2 linked regions of the Astyanax mexicanus genome follow. The protein of the gene in region 1 binds, or shares a complex with, the protein of each later gene. Links are inferred from orthologs where the notes say so. Each region holds a gene or a part of one and is shown on either strand. Other genes may lie near its edges. The genes, in order: tbc1d23 and stx16.

The links.
Region 2: the proteins of tbc1d23 (region 1) and stx16 are in contact, whole or in part, in a crystal structure (PDB 8QQF), measured with the Homo sapiens proteins. The link is inferred for Astyanax mexicanus from reciprocal best matches to the Homo sapiens genes TBC1D23 and STX16. Residues at the interface, in NP_001186127.1 of Homo sapiens: Leu638, Asn639, Ser640, Val641, Val642, Lys643, Ile644, Thr645, Ser646, Lys647, Lys648, Ser661, Ser662, Ala663, Ile666, Thr683, Lys687, Ile690, Met691; in NP_001001433.1 of Homo sapiens: Asp209, Asp210, Asn211, Thr212, Leu213, Tyr214, His215, Arg216, Phe218, Thr219, Glu220.

Annotation. Positions count from the first base shown.
Region 1 is NC_064412.1:47,165,882-47,178,135, forward strand, and holds the start of tbc1d23 (TBC1 domain family member 23), read left to right. Parts: upstream 1-7,077; 5' UTR 7,078-7,092; coding exon 7,093-7,214; intron 7,215-9,349; coding exon 9,350-9,464; intron 9,465-10,525; coding exon 10,526-10,631; intron 10,632-12,068; coding exon 12,069-12,254. UniProt on the Homo sapiens protein: Putative Rab GTPase-activating protein which plays a role in vesicular trafficking. Involved in endosome-to-Golgi trafficking.
Region 2 is NC_064412.1:43,724,759-43,737,425, reverse strand, and holds the start of stx16 (syntaxin-16), read left to right. Parts: upstream 1-7,434; 5' UTR 7,435-7,756; coding exon 7,757-7,888; intron 7,889-12,667. UniProt on the Homo sapiens protein: SNARE involved in vesicular transport from the late endosomes to the trans-Golgi network.

The sequences.
Region 1 (12,254 bases):
TATTTATAGATATTTTCACCATGGACAATAATTATCGTGGTACGCATAATTGCACTTAAAATGGCACAGGGGTGAAAGATTCTTAAAGTATGGTATCTATTCACTGGGAGGTATACTACTCAGAAGTAGCCTCTAAGAACAAGGGAAATATTAATTGGTCAAAGTTGAGACATTATTATACATTACTATATTTTTAATGCTTAAGAATGTTGTTAATCCTGTTAATTAATAATGAATTAAAAAAAAATTAAAATGTTGTAATGATTAATAATGCTAACTATTGCCAATAAATATTTAGTTAAGATTTGAGTTTTATGTCCTGTTAATTAATATACCTTTAATTATAAAATGTTACCCAGTAACGAAATCCATGATGCGATAACAATTATATAAAAATATCACAATACACCAAAACATCATATCACCCACCCTCACTTCACAGCCTCAGAGTGATGGGCTGTGGTTTAGCCCATGGCCCGATCTGGTTTGGCTTATCCTCCTCATTAAAGCATGCGTACTGTATCTGCGTATTTCACTGCTTTGCTTCCTTCGTTAGTTATGTGCCCTTTGTAAATCTTAGTCTAAATCTAAGTCTCATCATAATTCCAAACTGTGTTAAAATAAAAGTCCTAGAGTAAATCGAAGTGATGACTGGATAGCTTTAATAATTGATGGAGGTTAGTTTTGTTTTTTGTATATTTTTTTGTTTATTTCTGTTTTTCTTTGTTTATGGGGACACTAAATTTTGTGCACGCTGTTTAAAAATGGAGAATGAAAAATGTGAAAAATTTCAGTTCAGTTTATTTTTGTTTTCCTTTTTTGTTCTGTGATGTTCCAGATGTTCCGATATTCTCCTTAGCACAGAGTTCTGCCACCGTTATATATATATATATATATATATATATATATATATATATATATATATAATAAATATATATCTCGTAGGGTTTGATTGTAGACGTTCTTTTACGGGACGTAACAGTGTGTTTGTCTGAATGTGTGTAAGCTGTGTGTTAAAAGACGTCTGTCAGTGGGTTGTTTTTGCCATTACTGACATTTTATTTCTAAACGGGGAACTAATGTCACATGACTTTAAATTTGGGCCATAAAGTGAATTCATTTTACTTGTCTGTTTTTGATTATATTTTTCTTCATTTTCCTTTTATTCATTAATTTTGGGACTGTGGGATTTTTTTTTTTATATTCTGTACAGCATGAGTGAGATTTCTCTTTATAAATAAATGTTACGACTCTCCGCTGTAATTTTGATGTAGTGTTATGGCATTCAGCTAGTGTGATGATATCTTTGATTATGAACGCCTTAATAATCAGTCTACTTTTGCGGTAAGTTTACAGTGCATTCAAAACTTGGGACAGGATGTTTTATACTTTTAATTAATTCATTAAAGTAGCATCTCTTTTTTTCATGTGTATGTATTTGCCACAATGGGAAAGCAAGTACAACCAACCAAAGTTCAATTTAAATTAAATACATGCTCTAAAATCAAACAATACTATGAACACAGCAAAAAAATATGCAATAACCCTCTAGTCCTCTAGTTAATGTACAGAAATTCAGAAATCAACACAGAAACCCGTTGCATTCATTGACAAAAAAAATAACGTACAGAAAAGGGGATATTTGTAATGTACTGGACTTTGTGTCAATGATATATTAGAGTGATTACAATATTATAGTGAAAGGATGAGTGTATTGGTGTAAACAATACTGTAATTGAAAGGAGGCGCTAGTTTAAACCCTGTTGGAGCTTCTAATCTGGATACAAAGTGAGATGGAGAATGTTGGGTATGGAGTATTACAGGTTCTGTATGGATCCTGCAGCACATTTACCCACAGATGTTGCTACAGCTGGGCCTGTAGATCCTGTTCTACACTGATAGGTTACTAAGGCTGCTCCCTAGGTGCTCCCATAAATGCTGGATTGGTGATCAATCTAGAGATCTGTCAGAACAAGGAAATGCTGCACCGTAGTGGAAACATTCCTGGCAAACTCTTGCTGTGTGTGGGTGAGCATTATCCTGCTGAAAAAAAAAGTCCTGCCATGTGAGATAACACATGTATCTGCTGAACCCCTAGTATCACTACTAGGGGTGACCTACTGTTGCATGCTATGTTCCCCGGATCATCAATCGCACCAGAAGTTGGAGCAGAGTGTCGATCCACAGCAAAGGCAGCATTGATTTAGCTGTCAGATCCTAAACAGAACCTGAATTTGTCAATAAAAACAATCAAATATGATTTTAGTCTGTAGCAGCCCAGGTTTTCTTATTTATGACATCCCTGCAAACAAGGCTGAAGGTGGCTGTCTGATGTAGATTGTGGGCAATTTGTCCTCATTATAATAATAGCAAATAATGAAATATTACAGTGCGTCATCGATTCTGTTTTTTTGGTCTGTTTTCTGTTTTATTTTATTTTTTAACTCTTGAGCTTGTAGCCTTATCTCAACCTGGATGTGAACTGGACGTGGGACGTCCTGAGATTATATGTAGCGTTCGTTTGCATATATAAACATTTTACAAAATAAAGGGCTTTCACACTTTTCCTTATAGCTGTAACATACGTTATAGTAATATCTATGTATACATCCTATTTGATGGCTGATGTCAGTGCACCACCATGAAGCATTTCACCAATTTAGAAGTTTCCAGAATGTTTTTTTTTTCTTCAGTTTAGCTAAGCCAAATAACCTGCCCACTCATTGGAACTCTCCCTATGACTCCAGAACATGCCTCCTTTCATACATGTGAAGTCAGACTATGCCTCTTTTTTAACTTCCACCAATTAGTGCAGCATAACTAGGCAGCCAATGCTTGGAAGAGCCAGTGAGAACCATTGACCATTAGGGAGGGGATGAGCACTCCTGTTGAATTGATTTTCTGTTAATATTAAAGCGTAAATGAAAATAGTTACCAATATTAATATGGCCCTATATGCACCCATCATTAAAAACTAGTTGTTCCCAGAAGGAATAACCAACAGGAATAAAACCCCTTTGATTAGTTGTGCCAGACTGTCGGGGAATAACTCAGAATAACTTCATATCATTTTCAGTGAAAAGGCCTTTCTTTTTCTTGATGTAGACAACAAACGAATCTGGTTTGTTGTCACACATCACATGTTCAGAAGGCATGTTGTCATGGTGTGGGGTTTAATTTAGTTTAATATGTAACTTGCAGCCAGTGGCCCTACCTTTACTGAACACGGTGCACTAATCCAACAGGACAATGCTCGTCCACACACTGCTGCCATACCAAGAGCTTACTTTGATTATACAGCTGCATCTCCAGAGCTATCTCTGATAGAAAATGTTTGGGGTGTTATTGGACACTGCACTCAACGATCCACCCCTACCGCACAATCCGCAGGAACTGTGTGAGAATGTTGTAGGTGCATGGGATGAATTGAGAATCTCTACAAATCCATCCTCTGGCATGTTGCAGTGTTACACACTATGTCTGAATGTGTAGCTCAGTAAATATTACTCATCTCAGTCCACAATTATAATCATTTATTGACCCTGGTAACTTTTATCTTCCTTCTGAATAGCATTAAAATCCAACACTTTCTTCTGGGGGCATCTGTTTTTGCAATTGTTTCTTTAAGGATGAGCATATTTTGTTCAGCTCAAATAAGCTTTAAAATAAGTTAAAACTTTGAGAAAATAAGAGTATATGAGTGTATATTAAAAGCTGACATGTTTAGAAATTTATGTTTGCAGTGAAAAAGGAGAAAGCATATAAACGCATGTAAAATTTCCTGTATTGCCTGTTGGGTTGAGTTTGCTTGTTCTGTGATGAGTTTAGCTAAATGAACTGAATTTGCAACTCAAAGCTAAGCATTTTGGGGAGAAATCAATCATTCCAGGCTGCTGCATGTCTGAAAATGATTTAATAAGACCTGTTTATAATAATGTTTTATGAGCATTGCATAAATAAGTTATGGGGTTCTGTGTGAATGTAGCCTGTTTGTTCATTTGTTTGACTATGAAACTTTTGAAATGTGGCTGTGTACAATCAGTGCCCTCATACTGAAATTTAACAAATGTGGGAAAGAAAATGTGTTGATGGAAAAAGTAATGTTGGTAATGTTTTCTTGTGTAATTGTAATGTAAAGTAAAATAAAGAAACAAAACTTGATGGATATTGACTACTACAATATATACAGTACCAATCAATTACTCAATTAGTACTTATTCAATGATTGTATTGTTTTTTTCCTACATTGTTAATGAATACTCAAGTCATTCATGAAGCTGACTGGGAAAATTTAGAGATGTGCAAAGCTGTAACCTAAGCAAGAGGTGCCTAAAATATATAACATACAGCTCTGGGGAAAAAATTAGAGATTGATTTTACCTAATTAAAAACCTCTGGAATATAATCAAGAGCAAGATAGATGATCACAAACCATCAAACCAAGCTGAACTGCTTAATGTTTTGCACCAGAAAGTGCATAAAGTTATCCAAAATCAGTGTTTAAGACTGGTGGAGGAGAACATAATGGCAAGATGCATAACAACTGTGAAAACCAGGGTTATTCTACCAGATATTGATTTCTGAACTCTTAAAACTTTATAATATGAAAATGTTTTCTTTGATGTTTTCTTTTCATTATTTAAGGTCTGAAAGCTCTGCAGCTTTCTGTTATTTCAGCAATTTCTCATTTTCTGCAAATAAATGCTCTAAATGACAATATGTTTATTTGGAATTTGGGAGAAATGTTGTCCATAGTTTATAGAATAAAACAATAATGTTAATTTTGCTCAAACATATACCTATAAATAGCAAAATCAGAGAAACTGATTTTCTAGAGCTGTAGTCTGGTTTGTTTAACACTTGTTTTGTTTCACTTCATAGTTCGGATGAATTTAGTATTAATCTACAATGCAGAACCTTTTAAATATTTTTTTTTTACAATTTTAAATAATAAAAAACGTTGAATTTAAGCTCTGTCCAAACTTTTAACAGTGTAATATTAATGAATGAACTCAGTAAACACTGATGATATATATGTGTTGTTTGTACTGGAAGTTGAACAGTGCTGCGCGTGAACAGGTGCGGGCCTCTCCCCCGCGCGCCGCTGTGACGTGGAGCGGGATCGCAGCAATGGCGGACTGTGTGGAGGAAGTTCTTCAGGGCAGCTGGTAAGGTTCGGTCCGCCGGGCTTTATTAGGGTCAGAACCGGCTCTCAGAGGGGGGTTCTGTAACATGCGGGGTCCGGGGGGGCTGTCTGCCTGTCCTGGCCGGGTGACCCGGTGTGAGGGCGGCGGGGTTGAGCGGGTTAGCCCCGTCGGTGCTGTGCTTTCAGCTAGCCGGACTGAGGGACGCAGACAGCGGCTCCACTGAGCTCCGGCCTCGCGACTCTGGACGAAGACGTGGAGCTGTTTAGCTAGACAGTTAGCTTGTTAGCTAGCTGGCTGGGTTTTCAGCGCCTGGTTTAACTGTGTTTATACATTTTGGTCTCTTTTAACAGAGAGTCGCGCAGCTTTGAAGAGCAGGCGGAGTTAGCCTATTAGTATTTTACTCCTCACTTCTTAAGGAAATCTGAGGTAAATGTAGGATTTAGCTGCTAGCTGCCTGGCTAACAGACATCCAGAGTTAAGAAGTCCAGATCCAGAGTGTAGGAATCCATCCCAGGATTTTGTTCTTACTTCCTTTGCTCTTCTGTGTGTTGCTTAGCCGCAGCAGATCCGCTCAGGCGTTCAGAACACAATCCTGGGCAGGATCTTTACTTTCTGGACCTGGATTACCCCTCTCCACTGACAGCTGGCTAATGTGTAAATAAATAGCTGATAAGTGATCGATTCAGCTGGAATAGCAGTGGTTAGTTGTGACAGTCATTCTGATCGTGTGATTGTGTTTCGTTTTAAACGTTATTTTTAGTTTAACTGATTTAGTTAAATAACGTTAGTTAAAATCTAAAAAAAAAAAAAAAGATATGAGCACTGATTTCTCTGTCATTTCTAAGAATGGATAGAAATCAGCTCTTGGGATCAAAGGTTGTGATTGGGATTATGGTTTTGTCAGTCAGAAGTTTATATTATATTATTGAATATAATTTACACAGTCATTGGTCTGCCTTCAGTACCTTCTTAGCAAATCACTAGTGTGGAAATCAGTAATTTACAGTCTTACTGTAGTGTCTTTATGATCTCTGTCTAAATAATGTGTCCTTATTGTGAACAGTATATAAGCCACCCCCTTTTATGCGTGTAATCACTTGCTGATAGAGCTGGGTGATAGGGTAAAATATTATATTGCAATATTTAAAGACATTATCACAATACAGGTTTTGACATGCAGACAAAATGAATAACTTTCAGTACTTGAGTAGTACATTTTAAAATAAACTAATTGCAATACTTAAGCACAAAAAATGTTGAATAGGGCTATAGGGCTTCCACTTAAGTGTGGTGCTTAAAGAACACTTCAAATTCTACGTTTTACTTTTTTAAAAGAGCACTTGTACTTTTACTCAAGTCTGGATCTCAAGTACTTTATACATGTTTGAATGACACAAACACACGTCCAGATTTTTCTGAACACTTAATATCCTGTGTGTATTGTGATATTGTCTGTCAGTCTAGTCCGTCTGATGTCAGGGCTTTATTGCTTCTTTGCAAGCTTGTTTGTGGAGGAGCCACAGGCTGATATCAGTGATTCGGTGCTGATAGTTCTTTTGTGTTTACTCACTACAGCAGTAGTATTCACACTTTCCATACCTGAAGAATAAGTTACCAAGTATAAGAATTAGTTGTTGGTAATACATATACAACCCTAAATTAGAAAATGTTGGGACCGTATGAAAAGTATTTTTGTATGATAAAAAAATACAGTGTGTATCTGAGATTCGAGATTAGCATGTGTGTTAATGAGCCAGACTACAGGAAGTAGACAGAAGGCCAACAGCTGCTGTGTACAATGCAATGTGTTGTCTTCCTCTTCTGAATATAAAACAGTAGGCAGGAAGTGTGGACACACTCCTCTGGAGAGTTCAGGGAGATATAATGGAGGAAGAGAGAATGAGTGTGTACATGTGTAGGCCTGTCACGATCATTCACATTATCAATGATATGTGCATCCCCAGGTCCCCACCTCATCCCCAGGTCCCCACCTCATCCCCAGGTCCCCACCTCATCCCCAGGTCCCCACCTCATCCCCAGCTCCCCACCTCATCCAGTATTAATACGGTATAGGTCTTCTTTCTGCCCCTAAACATCCTCAGTTGTTTGTGGAGTGGATAACAAGATTCTGCAGAATAGATGTGTTTTATGATTAGAGTGAATTACTTAAATACACACACATGGCACAGGCTTGTACCTATTTCTCTATGAAGCTGCTTTGTGACATTTGCTATAGAAATACATTTGAGTTGAACTGAGTTTTGCTCACTGGTAGGCCTGTCACGATAATAATTTTTTGTGTACGATACATTGTCCCAGAAATAATTGCGATACTCAATATTTTTGTAATTTTAAGACTATTAATAACAGAATAGCTTAGAAAAAAGTAATTATACACTTTTTAAAGACAACAAACATTTAAACAATAATTTATTTTATTTAGTTTGTGAATGATATACTTAATTCTTCACCTACTTTAGTCCACACTGTGTGTATGGAGTCACAGTTATTGAAGCTGTTGTATGTGTGAACAAAAATACATACGATATCATCGAAAAAAAAATTGAGATCATGTTAATTTATTGTACGATAAATCGATATTGCAATTATTGTGACAGGCCTACTCACTGGATAAATTAAAGTTTTGATAGGTGTCATATAGGTCTGTCACAATAATTAGAATATATGTACATCAGCTTAATTACTTATTAAAGATAAGTAATTAAAAACATGTATTTTAACTTTAAATCATGATTGGTCATATTATTGTTTAATATATGGACTTGTATGCAGTCAATTTTTGCTGAGCTTAATATTGCCTATTAGGTTTTCTTACAGAGAAGAGCACATTTATGTGAATGGCCAAAATGTAGAATTTTACTAATTGTATTTAGTTAATTTAACCAAACTAAATTAACTTTATTATAACACAACACAACTGTAGTAATAAACAATTATTATATGTATAATTTTAGTGCCATAAAATATCAGTAGTAATGTTTACTATAATCCTTTTTGCGTCAATATATCCACACTTTATGTCCACCTTGTTATTGTGATGGGTGTTTGTGTTTGTATGTTTGTGTGCGTGTTTGTGTGTGTGTTTTTATGTGTTTTGTGTGTGTATGTATACAGTGCTGCTGCTGTAAAGCTAAATTGTTCACGCTCCACAGGCACAGCTTTATCTTTTAGATGGTTGATGTTTTGGGTTAAGGAAGGGGTATAGGAATGTGAAGATGTGAAGATCTGTTGCTCCGTCAACACTGACTGCTGTCTGACTCCTCCCACTCTGCTCCTGAGCTCCACAATGGCGTCTCTATTGTTGGCATTCAGGTTTCTGCCATTATGGTGGAACGATGATGTCAGTTGTGAGTGATGGATATTGTTTTCTCAACTGTGTGTGTGTGTGTTTGTGTGAGAGAAAGACAGACAGAGAGAGAGACAGAAGGCATGTGGGATGGAGCGTCTTTGTTAGTGGATTTTTGTTTAGCCCAGTAGCAGCCTGGCAGATGGTGGAACACTCTCGTCCTAGAAATATCATTCATGTAGCATATAGAGCATTAGTGCAGCTTGTTTAGACTGATGGAAACATGCAGAACACCTGAAACACATGATGTACATATCCAAGTCTGAACCAGGTAGAATCAAGTCTGAATTTTGTGTTCTGTACATTTAGTCTGGTTAGTTGTGGTTTCGCACTGTATTTTAGTGACTAAGTGCACGTAACTACTTAACTACAAGCTAACATCACCAACTATGTGGGCAGAGTCTCCCTATACTTCACACTGATTGGTGTATTGAGTGTTTCCCCCGGGATTCCTTTTATATATGTTTTAAAAAAGGGTTAATCTACAGTTACATTAGATATAGGAATCACCAGTGTAATCTGTTGTATCCAGACTGTTGTATGATGCGCCTGTACACCAAGGGGAATCAGATTCCCGCACAACACCGCTTCTTTTTCTTTTTCTATTGTTTAAAGGGTGATGATAGCCTAACTTCCTGTAATTGGTTTGGACCGCACAAAAATGTGTTTTAAAGTGCAAACCAATCAGACCATGGTTCAGCTCGTCCAGACTGTGAACATTTCTTCTTTAGAACACATTCTGGTCCTTTTGGTCCACCTAACTAAACAATCTAAAAGTTGGACCAAATTAGTTTAAGCTCTCTTAAAAGTGTGTGTGTGTGTGTGTGTTTTATAGGGACCATGACCTAGGTGATGCTTTGGACTCTGCAGTTGGTGATTTGGATACAGAGGAGGATGGCATTATCCAGGTCCGAGACCTGCCACCACCTCAGAGAGCCAAGCTTTGGATGGTAAGTATATGGTATGCCATCCGTACAACATTATTATGAGATAATCTACACATCATACCGCTATTATGGATATTACCATAGCACGCGGTTGGCAGCATGCTGTTCTGATCTGATAAAGCTCTGTGCTGAAGCTCTGCATGGGGAGCAAAGGCTGTGTAACCGGGTTGCGGGTGCAGACAGCCTCGGTATTGATCCACTGTTCATTAGAGAAATCTGATCCGGGTACAGCGGGCAGCGCCGAGTGAGACACACCACACACTGCAGCTTTATGACCTCCACTAGGGCTGTCATCAAACGCCCTGAGCTGCAGTATCACAGCATCACAACCCTTATTCTCTCTCACCCCAATCACTTAAAATTTTCTGCCCTTACAAAATAAATGAGAACAGTGGGGAAAATACTTACAATTAAAATAAAGGTTCTGGTAAAATTACAGAAAGATGTGTATAAAATATACATACACTACATAGAGTGCTTTGAACTTTTCACATGTTATCACCTTACAACCACAAAAACAAATGTATTTTATTTAGATTTTAAATGACCAACACAAAGTAACACATTATTGTAATGTTGAACAAAAATGATGCATGGTTTTCAAAGTTCTAATCAAATAAAATAAGAAAATTGTGATGTGCAAAAGTGTAAAGCTGCCTTTACTCCTAAACCCCTAAATAAAATCCTGTGCAATCAGTATAGCTGTATGTATTTTAAGCCCTATTCTAAGAGGATCAGGATAGCTGGTCCTCCGGTAATTTTAGTCCCTTCTGGATCCACATGTCTGAGTTTCGTCTCCTCGCATTTAATAAAGTAGGTATTTGTCTGCTGCCATGCACTGTAATTACATTTTGGGTGCACGTTTCCATGGGGATCCATGTAAACACATCAGCCAGTGGAAATGGAGGAGCTTCTGAACGCGATGTCACGTGACCAAGAAAGCCAAAAAAACTCACTGGTCCTTCTGTTTATTTTTTATTTTTTATTTTATATATTTTTTTGCAGTCCGGATGCAAGAGTTTTATCACTCGCTTCCTCTCTCTTGCGCTTTTTCTCTTTTTCAGATTGCTCTGAATGTGGCAGGTAAAGGTGACAGTCTGTCCTCCTGGGATGGAGCTCTGGACCTGCCAGAACAGACGCTAATACACAACAGATGCCAGCAGCTCATTGGTAAATAATCTATATCACATTTCTCTTTTAACTGCAGACTATCTTTCATACTGTTCTATATGCTCAATACATAGACCCACAGAACACATACACTATAAGAATACAAGCATTGGAACATTTACTTTTAGTTTCACACGGCAGTTTATGGTCTTGTTTGGACTGAACTTTTGAGTTGGGTCTGAAACAAAACAACAGATGTTAAAGGTGCAACAAACCACAGTGTCAGATGTTTGGACCAATTACAGAATGTTGAGTTGAGTTTCTTTCATAAATGATAGTTGTTTTTTCAAAATTTGTGAAATATTGTCCTTGTTTAAAAATACTGTTAAAATGTTTAATACTATGCATTATGGTATTACAGTAATACTGCCCAGCCCAAATTTAGATACCAGCACACTAAAATACCGCTTTTTTTTACTTTTTTTTAGGAATTTGTTTCATGCTCCCAAAGTGAAACAGTTGTGTCTTCCTGTACAAAGACCATGAAAACAGTAATAGTTAGTTTTAACGCAGTTAACAAAACACTGATTTAAGGAAGCAGTGAATAGATAAAGCACACAGTGCTTTACTCATCACCCTGTCCAACTCCACCCTCCCACAACCGTCTGACTCCAGCAGACTGATTCTATTCAGGGAATTTCCAGCACTTTGGGGTATAGCAGCCACTGCAGGGAGCTAACCCAGAAAAATAACTTCATTTCTGCACTGGGACAGGCAGACTTTAGCCTCCAGGCTCACCCAAAGCAAGACTGAGACACTAAGGCAGCCAGACTCTACAGCAGACTTTGTCCCCATGCAGCGTTATTTGATCAAATCTCTTATAAGCTCACTGAGGGCTACAATCAGTCATAAATGTGAAGTTACACATTAATTATTGTCTAACTACTGGTGGTATGTTTGCTGGTGGTATGTTATAGATGGATTACTCTGCTTAGGTTGTGTAATTACACAACACATTTAACATGTGGCGCTCCTATTGTTTTTTTTTATATTGATTATTTGAGCAATTATTTTTTTTCAATTAGTCGATTATTCAAAAAACGAATTAATTGTTTATCATGATTTTTTTTGTGGGCCATATACCTGTATATATCTGAAGGTTATAAAAGTTACTGTTAAGTTACTTAATAATGTACCGCCCTAGTTGTAAATGTCTGTAATAACTGTTATTACAGACCAACAATCATGCAGCAAAAATGAAATGATTGATTAATAATTAGCTCAGGTTAGCCATTAGTGGTTGTCTGTTTTTTTTTTTTTTTGCATTATAGCGAAGTGATGCAAAAATACACAGTCTGTTATTAAGGGCTGTAACAAATATTTAATATTATTTTGAAATTTTTTTTATCTATTGTAGCTTGCAGCAGAGCAATATTGTTTAAAATGAGCATTACCTGCGATGACTAATTCCTGTTCTTGTGTTCTTAACCCCTGCAGATCAGTTAGCTCTGCCTGTGGAGGATGGGCGTGACCTGGTGGCAGACGTTGAGGCGGTGATCACTTTCTACTGCAAGTCCAGAAATGTAACTTTCACTGCAGAACTGGCTTGGCCTCACCTTCTAAAACCATTGCTGGGTCTTCAGCTGCCCCGAAGTGACCTCTACAACTGCTTCTATGCTGTCA
Region 2 (12,667 bases), about 3.4 Mb from region 1:
GCCACGCCACATTGAAGCAGTCATTTCTGCAAAAGGATTCCCGACCAAGTATTGAGTGCATAACTGAACATAATTATTTGAAGGTTGACCTTTTTTGTGTTAAAAACACAATTTTTTTTTTTTTTACTTTTTTGCCAAAATCATCAATATTTAAACAATAAAAGGCTTGAACTACTTCAGTTGTGTGTAATGAATCTAAAATATATGAAAGTCTAATGTTTATCAGTACATTACAGAAAATAATGAACTTTATCACAATGTGCACATTTTTTGAGAAGGACCTGTAGTAGTATTAGCTAAGGCCATAGCACAGATAAAGAAGCATTTTGCTATCAGTAACATGAAGTATATAGTATTACAGTACAGAGTACAGAGAACAATCTGCTGCTCCCTTTGAGCAGCCTGTGCCAGTTTTAGGCCATAATTGATAACATGTGGTCTTTAATTAACCTAGAACATCGCACAAACTTCCCATCATTAGTAAAAGTCAGGATTCACCTGATAGTGAATAATTATTTTTAAAAAATCTAAGAGAAATGTATAAAATCTGGTTTACAGATTGAACTAGTTTACAGATTTGAACTAATTTAAATGTAGGGGTGTTTGCAATAAACTAATGGCTAGATGTTCTGGTGTGTAGGACAGTTCAGTGGAATAATGTATAATATATTGTGATCTGTGTGACAGAAGCATTTGATAATTTGGGAGACAGCAGACAGCAGTTGTACAGAATCATTAAATGTTTGTATTAAATAAATAAGAAATGGCTCCTGTGATCTGAACAAGTTCTGAAATTCTGAAATCTGAAATTAATTTCTGATGAGAGAAATGTTCCAAAGTGACAGAGAAAAATGTATTCACATATTCGAGTATATACTGAATAAATATCCTGTTTGGCTTATCATAATATACAACGGCATGAAAAAGTATTTGCCCCATACAGATTTTTTTTTTGTTTGTTTTTTATCATAATGTCCTTAACACCACTGGCAGAGAGGAGAGCACTCAGCAAGCTGCTGAACATCATGGACAATGTCCACCACCCTCTGCACAGCACCATCACCAAGCAGAGAAGCTCATTCAGCGGCAGACTGCTGTCCCAGTCCTGCTCCACCGACAGACTCCGAAAGTCTTTTGTCCCTCAGGCCATAAGACTGTTCAACTCATCTCAGCACAGCAAACTGAAGACTCTGACACTTTTTCATTCTGGTAATTCTGGCCACACCATGGACACACCCTCAGCTATGGACACACTCCTATAACCATGCCTATAACACTATTTTTATAGTTCTACCCTATTAGTTCATTCCCTAGTTCATTCATCTACTGTTTACGTACCTTTGCACTGCTAAATTTAAATTTAAATTATTATATAACTGTGTATTTGCACTTTCTGTATGGCTGACATCAGTTATCCTTACTTTATGCACTACAACTGGTGTTCACTGTCTATTTTGTTCAACTGCACTACCTCCAGTCTACATTACACACACACACTAAAGACTGTACTTTTACATTGTACGTTCTATTTTTTATTTGATTGTATTTATATGTATCTTTATATCTTTATATTTTATATTTTTCATTTTGTAACTTTGTGTATTATACATACCTGCTGCTGGATGTCTAGAATTTCCCCTCGGGATCAATAAAGTATCTATCTATCTATCAAACTATCTACCTATCTAATGATATTTTTCTATCAAATATCAATTAAACTTTAATATCAGACAAAAATAACATGAATAATTATAAAAAGTTAAATAGAATTTGTTAAATGAAAAAAAAAACTATTCAAATAATCTAGCCCTTCTAGAAAATCTAGAAAATGTCTTTGCCCCCTAAAACTAATAACTTGGTTTTACAACCCTTGGCAGCAACAACTGCAATCAAGCTTTTACTGGCAGTGAGCCTTTCACATCTCTGTGGAGGATTTTTTTCCACTCTACTTTACAGAATTGTTTTAACTCTCCACATTGGAGGATTTCCAGCATAAACAGCCTGTTTAAGGTCATGCCACAGCATCTCAATCAGACTCCATAAAAGTTCCACTTTTGTCACGTAAATACAAAGAATATTTACACAAAGTTCTAGGGATAATCAAGATGTTTTTTGGTAAATGTGAGATGGGCCGTTGCGTTCGTTTTGGTTATCAGTGTTTTTTGGTTTGGAACTCTCCAATGGAGACCATTTTCACCCAGTCTCTTGCTTATTATTGAATCATTAATACTGACCTTAAGTGAAGAAAGTGAGACCTGCAGTTCTATAAATGTTGTTCTGGGTTTTTTAGGACCTCCTGGATGAGTTGTCCATGCCCTTTCCCAAAGTCTTAGAAACTGCAACCTTTTCCAGACTGATTGATAATTTGAGAAACAGCAGGCAGTTGTTCTGAATCAATTGCAGGAGCATACCAAATAATTTGCTGTTTGTATACAATAAATGAAAATGGCTTCTGTGATCTGCACATGTAAATAAATGATGTGCAGGTTACATATATAATCCAGCTGACAAAGAACAACCTGTAAATCCACTGAATGAAGCCTTGTAAGTGAATAGAAATAAAATGTTTAATAGATGTAATAATTCAATATTAAGTGTTTGTTTTTCATAAAGCATACACAGTTTTGAGTAATTTTCTTTTTTTTTCACATTTTGAATTATTATACTAATTATTATAGCTCCAAAGTGACAGGTGCAAGCTGTTTCCTGTAGTTGCAGATCAGACCTGCACAACAGTCAGGAGGAATTTTAGATCATTTCTCTTCACAAAACTGTTTTAGTTCTCAGTTTCATCCGATCAGAAATATTAGATAAAATCAACCGCATTTAATATTATCGCAATAAACTCAGCTCGCGCAAATAATGACGTGAACAAGGTCAACAACCAATAGGAGAGCTACGGGAAGAGGCAAGAATATATATCACATGACTGTTTAGAGACGATTAAAAAAGGAACACATTTTGCAATTAATAGGTCTTATATGGTTCTTACTTTAATATGTACAGTATTTTAAACACAGGTAGCACTTTAAAGTCTTTATATATTTAAAGTTATTTTATTTTGCACAGTTATTTATTTGTGCAGTGTTTTTTTTAATACAAACAAGTTTAATAAAATCATTTTGCGAGAATGATGTTCTTTATTGCATTAATTCTAGGCAAATGTACAGCAGTAAAACTGTGATTCTTTGCTATAGGCCTACAAGGTTGTAGCAAAACAGGGTGTAATGAAGCTTATAGGATGAGTTGAACACAAAATGTATTCTATAAAAAAACAAGAACTAACAGTGTGACAGAAAAAAATATATTGTTGATGGTGACACAAAGTTGTGAGTCTCTGATATTGATATGCACATTATTTGTAACTTAATAGGTAATATTTGTATGTAAACTCCACCAGAAGCATGATGGGAAATAATCTCAGAAAGAATCTAGTTGCAGCCTTGCAGTTAGTGACCCCCAGTCTTTGTAAAATCATAGCCTGTGACTGCTGTGTGAGTAAAAAGTCTGTAACGAGTCTTTAGACGTGAGAGGGGGTCAGACTTCAGTCTGTTAAAAGTATTTTCGGAGTATTTTCAAAGTCGTGTAGTGTATGGACAGTTTAAATTACAGTAAAAAAACAACGGAACGCACAACAGCGCCCCCTGTGGCCAGACTCCAATCTTGCCCTCCGCCGTTTAAGCAGAAAACGACTCTGCTCAACACTAGTAGGGGCCCGTGAGTGAGTAAGGGATGTAAATCCTGCCAAAAATAAAGCTGAAATGAAAACACCCCAGCGCCTTGCTCTCATGGGAGGTTCTGTAGTTATAGACCCGCCTACAGTTAATGTACGTGTATTTGCATGCTGCTGAAGTTGAAAACAAAAAGTGGGAAATGAAAAGTAAATCTCCAGCAGACAGCACTAATCTTGCTTTATGTTTCCCTTTTTATTTTGACACTCAAAGTGCCCCCCACGCCCAAAACTTACCCAGCTGGCATTTCAACGTTAAATAAACGTTGTATCAACGTTGATCAGCGTAGATATTATGGCTGAATCAACGTTGAATCAACTACTGATTTTAAAAAGTGAATCAACGTTGATATAGCAGCGTTGTTTCAACGTCATAAGTTCAACCTTTAATAACCCATAGCTCACTAAAATTAGAAATTCCTATGGTTAACAAAGTGTTATCATTAAACTTACATCACTGCCAAGGGCGTAGGAGCGGGCTTGATATTGGGGGGGACACATTTGCCAATATGAACCCAAGCCCACCCAATAGTTTCCTAGAACAACATTTGTGGAAATTACTTTTAATTAAAAGTAAATTATTATTATAAGGTGATTTTACAACCTAAACATGTTACTCCACATTACAGCTACTGTTGTTAGAAAAATTATGCAAGCAATGTCTGAGTTATCACCTAATATTTAAAATAATATAACAGATTATTATTATTGTTATTATTATTATTATTATTATGTATTGGCATCATACCTGTCAAGTTTTGGACTTAAAAATAAGGGATTTTTTCCGCCGCCCCAACAGCCCAAACGAGGGAGAAAAAAAAAAAAAAAAAAAAAAAAAAAAATATATATATATATATATATATATATATATATATATATATATATATATATATATATTTTTTTTTTTTTTTTTTTTTTTTTTTTTTTTTTTTTCCCTCGTTTCCCTCGTCCCTTATATATATATAAAATTTAAATAAATTCTAACAAACCCTAAAACTAGCCCTGAACTAATAGAGTTTGGAAATGATAGTTATTGGCTGATCAGGCACATCAGGGCAGGGCATTATATATATATATGTAGATTTTTCTCAAACACTGAATATCTATCTAGCTAATTCTAAAGTTAAGCTAACTGAGTCACAAGCTGTATTTTATTAAACACACAGTGGGTTTAATTTATGTTTTGATTCAGAGAAGAGTCTTTTTAACCAGCTATCAGAAACAATCTCATCACAGTTTACATGGTTAATTACCTTTCTTTTAGAAAAATCTCCGTATATCCAGATTAGTTTTAACGACAGCTGCTCCGACTAGCTGCCTGAACTCACAGCGAGGGGAGGGGCGGGGCTTCCCGCACACTAAACTGCGCTCCGCAAAACCAGCTAGCTGATTGGCTGTTTCTCCTGAAAGGCGGGACTTTCTCCTTGAACCGGCACCACGATTGGTTAAGAGACACACAGCGGTCAGTGCATTGTCGCCTGTGGCCTATATATTTTTTTATTTAGTATAATACGGGAAATTTACGGGAAAATACTAATACGGGAGGACGGCGGGAAAGAGGAGTAAAATACGGTAGTTTCCCGGCCAAAACGGGAGACTTGACAGGTATGATTGGCATGTCAATTCTGTTGTATATTTACATTTTCTCCTGCACTTTTATTTTTTTCTACTGAGAGCTCTTCTTAAGATGGTGTCCTTTTATGTAAAAGAATGTAACTTTACGTTTCATAGAGACTTTTATAAACGTCAGGATATGTGGTCTTACTGTGAAATACAAATGAACAGAAGTCACGTTACAGCAGTGTTTCTCAACCCAGTTCTTATATATTCTACTGCATATTAACACTGTTCTGCATATTCTAGAGCTTCCTCTGGTGGATATACATGATTAATTTAGGCTCCATAGGGGGCTAAAGGATTTTAACAGGTAAACTCAGTAAATGACTGTTTATTAGCTGATCAGGTGGAAAACACTAGTTTAGGGAAGCGATCGGGGTTAAGTAACTGCTTTAAACTACCAACTTACTGTACGAAATTCTGGCGATCATCTACATCCAGCTTCTAGATAACTAGTTAGTTAAATCAATTTTCGTTCATTATAGCTCACAGTAAGTCCTGTAATCCTAAATGAATAAACAGTTTGAAAATTAAAGTGATTAGCTGATCAGGTACAGGGAAACATTACATATATATTTTATTTTTTTCCTTTAACCCTGACTCCCAATCTAGTTAATTCCAAAGATAAGCTTACACACTAACACAGCTGCAGTTTATTAATCACAGTGGGTTTAAACTGTGTGCTGATTCAGAGACGTGTATTTTTAACCAGCTATCAGAAACATATCATCACAGTTGAAGTGGTTAGCCTATCGTTACCTTTCTTTTAGAAAAATCTCCGTATATCCATATCTGTTTTAAAATCAGCTGAAGCTGCTGCGTCCCGATCCCGCTGCTAAATCTCACAGCGAGGGGGCGGGGCTTCCCCAACAGCAAACTGCATCTGCTCCGCGCGCCGCAAAACCAGCAAGCTGATTGGCTGTTTCTACTGAGAGGCGTGACTTAATACCTGAACCGGCTCCGTGATTGGTCCGGTCTGTCTCCTCATTAATAGTACAGCTGACCTGAGCGAACTGATATCATTTTTGGGGGGGACAAATACACCTGTTTCTAATATTGGGTGGGACATGTCCCACCCATCCCCCCCGGTTCCTACGCCTATGATCACTGCAGTAAAGCTGAGTATAACAAAAGTTACCCACCTCTACCAATCTGATTCAACATCTGATCTCAAAAACACTAAAACAGTAAAACTATTAGAACATGAACATGATGTTAAATTAAAAAGCAGTTACTGCAAATAAAAGTAAAAAACTTTTTATTTCTCCATTCAACCGTTTTTAGAAATTATATGGTGATGAAATATAAAATACTAATTCAAAAGGCAGAAGGTTGAGGACATTATGTTGATTTAACATAAAAAAATCAATGATAGCACAACCATTGAACATTAAACGTTGATTTAACGCTAAAATTTCAACGTTACCACAACTATTGAACATTTCAACGTTGAAACAACAACAGACATTACTTTAGTCATGTTTCAACCACATTTCAACATTGAAGGTCGGTTGTATACCATGATGAATGAATTAAAAACAATACCTAATGAACAGAATATTCTTGTTCTTTCGCAAGTAGAATTACGTATTGTAAGAATAAAAAAATAATAAAGCATTACTGCTACTGTGTGCTGACTGGCCTTTTCGTTTTGATAATATTAAGCCATACAGAAATATTTTAAAAGAAAATAAGTACATTACTCTGCACCAAATTAATTCTTAATTATTTATAAACTTCATTTTGAACTCACTCGGGAGCGCCCTCTGGTGGACTGGCAAACCCACCAGAGACTGAGTGGATATTCTCCTCTGTAGAAGATCTCTGGTTGTAACTTACTCTGTTCAAAAACGGGTCGTGAAGATCGTAAACGGAGACAAGATGGCACTTTAGGTCAAACTCAGGGACATATATTTAAACGCGTCTGTAATATTAAGGGAATAAACTAACGGGCTGGTTTGATATTACGGTTCAGTGCTGATGGAAACAGCAATGTAATGCGCTGTTTTATTCAGCGTGCTGTTGGTTTGGAGGATCTCGCTCTCACTGAGAACATCTTTGTTGAGCGGATGTGACGCTCTGGGCTCGTCATGCACACGGTAGTGTTGTCGTCGTGGAGGCCGTGATGTACTGCGGGGTACTGTAGCTGTATCTCAGCGCGTCTCGGGGTGACGGAGCGCGCCTTTATGTGGATCTGTGGAGAACTGGGACTGTACGCAGACTCGCCCGTGGCGGGGCGCGGCGGAGGGAGCAGCCGGGCGGGTGTAGAGGAGGTGTAAAGGAGGTGGCGTTGGCGGATTGTTTATCCGGACAGAGAGACTAACTGGACGGACGATCTGATCTGACCGTAGAAAAGCTGCGTTAGGGCGCACGGGCCTCTCGCGCGCTCGCTCCGGTAAAACAGTAGCCATGGCAACTAGGCGCCTGACCGACGCCTTCTTGTTAATGCGGAACAATGCGATCCAAAACCGGCAGATTTTGGCCGAGCAAGTGAGTACACACGAGCCCCGCCGAGCTCTGAATACACGTAGCAATGCTGCGGTGAGTCCACTGTTAATTGTCTGTATAGATTTGCTTAGGTGTGTGTGTGTGTGAGCAGACTGACTCAGACTTCTTACACGAACTGACCTTTCCAACTGAAATGGTGCAGCAGTTCCACTGTGGCTCCTAAGGGTTCAGTGCTGTAACTGCACCACCATCTAACTGAGAGTTCCTTTAAGAAGCGAGCTCGCGCTCCGTGTGTGAGGTGTAGCCTGATGGTTTGATGTTTTACACCAAACACTGCATGTGTTTACGTGTTGTAAGCCAAGGAGCAGCAGATCATCTATTATCGCTCGCACGGACTCTTTACATTAAGTTCTCTTTCTGATCGGGTTAATTTGGCTTCTCTGCCTGCCGCTACCCCCGTGTAAAAGTACAGAGAACTTGTTATGAAGATCTTCCTGATAGGTTTTGATAGGTCCTTGCTGTATTTCACTCCCAGTGTCACTCTTTTTTAGATGGGCGGGTCTAAAGTGGGCCAGACTGACGCCAGCAGGTCCCTCACTCATTCACTAATATTCACTATTCTTTGTTTACGCCTTAGGGATCTTTGTTTGTGCCGCTCTGACACAACACCACCAATAGTATATTAAGTTATATATTGGAAATTAATCTGTACGCTACATTTAGGGATGCACTGTGAGTGTTGAAAGTGAAGCGTGTAGGGAATGAAACGCACTGTTTCTGTAACAGGGACTGATAACAGCGTTTGTAAGGTATTGGTTCAGCTTCTCCATCTCATGGCTGTGTGCGTTGCCATGGTAATTTAAACAAACGTTTGTTCGCCAGTGAAAGACAGCTGTTAGTCACGCACTTTCATGAGAATATTATGCCCACGCCCACATGGTTCTCAGAGTGCATTTTGAGGAGTGGTATGGCGTCACATCAATGTCAAAAGTCGGGGGTGCAAAAATACCTGGTGAAAAAAATTTACCTGCGTGTTTCAACAATTTATGTGTGCGAAGACAACTGTGAATTCGAGAGAAATTAGTTTGTTTCTATGTACACATTGCTAAACCGTTCACATAACACTTGAGTTTTGTATTATATGAAACATCAGTATATACAATAGTGGTGCCAGGATGGTTCTGTGCATATTTGCTTATTGGTGATAGCACAATATAAACTCCAGGGATAAACTCCAGTCATTTTTGAAGTAATAGTTAATAGCAGAGACGATGAAAATTTATTTTCTTGAGAGACCAAAAAACATTAATATTTTAAGTATTGGTCTAAGTGACTCATCTAGGCCTGTCGTGATAACTATGTTATCGACTTAACGTACGATCATTTTTTTAAACCACGACAGTTTTTGCCACTGGGTTTCCGCGTGGGATTGTTTACACAAGAATAAATCGGAGCTACAGTTCAGCGAGTCCCGCTGCGCTGCTCTCTCGCCGACTCTCTGTCTGAGACGAAGACAAATCTGTCAGACAGTGACATCTATCGGTTAATCAGTGTAGTGCACGCATAGCTTATGTGTGACAGTGCCAGTGCATCCACACATGCGTGCACAGCGGAGTGTGTGTGTGTGTGTTAGCTTGCGAACGTATTTAAGGCTAATATGACTTTCTCAAAACTAAACAGCTTTAGAGAAGGTTTATTTTGTTTCAAAACAGTGGAAACGAAGCTAAAATCTCATTTAAAGCACAGCCATCCAGCCCAACTTTCTGAGCTGAATATTGAATATGAATATGGTTCCCCCAGAGAGATCCTGCCTCAAGCACTGGTGTTCCTTGCTCAAATTTATTTCTGACAGTTACATTAAAAAAATACATTTATAGCAAGAGCCAAGGGCGTAGGAGCGGGCTTGATATTGGGGGGGACACATTTGCCAATATGAACCCAAGCCCACCCAATAGTTTCCTAGAACAACATTTGTGGAAATTACTTTTAATTAAAAGTAAATTATTATTATAAGGTGATTTTACAACCTAAACATGTTACTCCACATTACAGCTACTGTTGTTAGAAAAATTATACAAGCAATGTCTGAATTATGTACATATGACAAAAATTTTCAGTTATCACCTAATATTTAAAATAATATAACAGATTATTATTATTGTTATTATTATTATTATTATTATTATTATTATTATTATTATTATTATTATTATTATTATTATTATTATTGGCATGTCAATTCTGTTGTATATTTACATTTTCTCCTGCACTTTTATTTTTTTCTACTGAGAGCTCTTCTTAAGATGGTGTCCTTTTATGTAAAAGAATGTAACTTTACGTTTCATAGAGACTTTTATAAACCTCAGAACATGTGGTCTTACTGTGAAATACAAATGAACAGAAGTCACGTTACAGCAGTGTTTCTCAACCCAGTTCTTATATATTCTACTGCATATTAAAACTGTTCTGCATATTCTAGAGCTTCCTCTGGTGGATATACATGATTAATTTAGGCTCCATAGGGGGCTAAAGGATTTTAACAGGTAAACTCAGTAAATGACTGTTTATTAGCTGATCAGGTGGAAAACACTAGTTTAGGGCAGTGATCGGGGTTAAGTAACTGCTTTAAACTACCAACTTAAAGTACTGTACGAAATTCTGGCGATCATCTACATCCAGCTTCTAGATAACTAGTTAGTTAAATCAATTTTCGTTCATTATAGCTCACAGTAAGTCCTGTAATCCTAAATGAATAAACAGTTTGAAAATTAAAGTGATTAGCTGATCAGGTACAGGGAAACATTACATATATATTTTATTTTTTTCCTTTAACCCTGACTCCCAATCTAGTTAATTCCAAAGATAAGCTTACACACTAACACAGCTGCAGTTTATTAATCACAGTGGGTTTAAACTGTGTGCTGATTCAGAGACGTGTATTTTTAACCAGCTATCAGAAACATATCATCACAGTTGAAGTGGTTAGCCTATTGTTACCTTTATTTTAGTAAAATCTCCGTATATTCATCTCTGTTTTAAAATCAGCTGAAGCTGCTGCGTCCCGATCCCGCTGCTAAATCTCACAGCGAGGGGGCGGGGCTTCCCCAACAGCAAACTGCCTCTGCTCCGCGCGCCGCAAAACCGGCAAGCTGATTGGCTGTTTCTACTGAGAGGCGTGACTTAATACCTGAACCGGCTCCGTGATTGGTCCGGTCTGTCTCCTCATTAATAGTACAGCTGACCTGAGCGAACTGATATCATTTTTGGGGGGGACATGTCCCACCCATCCCCCCCGGTTCCTACGCCTATGGCAAGAGCTATGGGCTGCTGAGCCACCTGTGTCTTTGATCATATGGACACTTGTTTTTTTGAGTTAATGTATGTTTTACAGCATTTACATATATGATCAGAGAAAATAATCTGTAAGTGCCTGTCCAGATAAAAAAAAAAGTTGAATTAATGTAAATGTTACTGTAATCTATATGTTGTTACTTTACTTTTTATATGAAGGTCTGTATAATATTTAGTGCCGTTTTCTCAGAACCCACAGAGTTCCAGGGTGGTTGTACATTATTTGTTTTAGTTATTTAGGATATTAAAATATTTCTTTATTGGAAGCCCAATGTCTGTTTTTAATAATAAAAAGTTTCTGTAAAATGGTGTAATAATATTATTATACTAGTATTTTATTACTGTGGCACACTGTCTTAAAGCTCCTTTGGTAGCGCAGAAGAAGGAAAAAAGCTTTCTGTAGTGCCACTTTCAAATGACAATATTATCGTTTATCTCAATAATTCTACTATCGTGACAGGCCTAGACTCATCCCAAGAAGACGTTGGCTATTTTGAAATTAATGCGTTTTCTCACATTTTTTAAACTTGTGAGAAACTCTCACACTTGTGAACTCCTCCTAGGTTTTATATCAGATTCTTTAGATATTTGGAAAATTGAACATCAGGCATGTGTAATGTAAGAAACTGCAAAAGAAAAGTAGATATTTTAAATGTGGATAAAATAGCAGGAAGTTGATTTGCTTGATTTGTCACATAAAACCAGAAAATGGATATATTTTGATGATGTTAGGGGTTTTGAAGAGGTTACACATTTAAGTGTTGTAGGACAAGTTTTGATCTGACATCACAATTCTGGATCATGGTTTCGCAGTGGTTCTATTTCTCCGACTATGCTTTAAATGCTAAATTGTTGTCTTTTGCTGGTAACAGTAGTAAGTCTGACACACCCCTGGAAGTGCTGTATGATTATAATACTGTGGTTTAATAGTCTTCGCCCAGTGCTTACGAATTTTGGTAGGAACATTGTTCTCATCATGGTAAACAGATTCATTGGGTTCATTGGGTTAACTCTACACCCAACCGGACATCGGCCCGTGTCTGTATTTTTGCACCAAAAGTCCTGTTTACTGCAAACTGAAGTGGGCTTTACAAGTTTTTTGGGTAATTTGTGTCAGGTGTAGTTAATAATCCTGTTTTGCCTCATCTGTGCACACCTAAAGTTTTATTGGGGTCAGGGGTCAATCAAAGTATATGAAGAACCTTAGCACTTATTACTCTGGCTGTCCTCTTTATTTTTATATTATGTAATAGTTATGTTTTTTTGTGACACTGTTGGCATTTAGCTGAAAGTGGGTTCTGCTGTAATGGTGATGTGGTGGCTCCTTCGCTTAATTCTGCTGTATGTGCATTTTTGTGAGACCTGCATGTGTCCTTGTTAGAAGTTTGGTTGGTTTGCATGCTGAGTGAGTGTTGTTCTGTTTAAGTCTGTGGTTCTCAGTTGGGGAAACCACAGCCCAGAGTTCAGGACTGTTCATTAGGAATGGTCTTCAGCTCTACTTCCTACTGGAGGAAGTTTTGA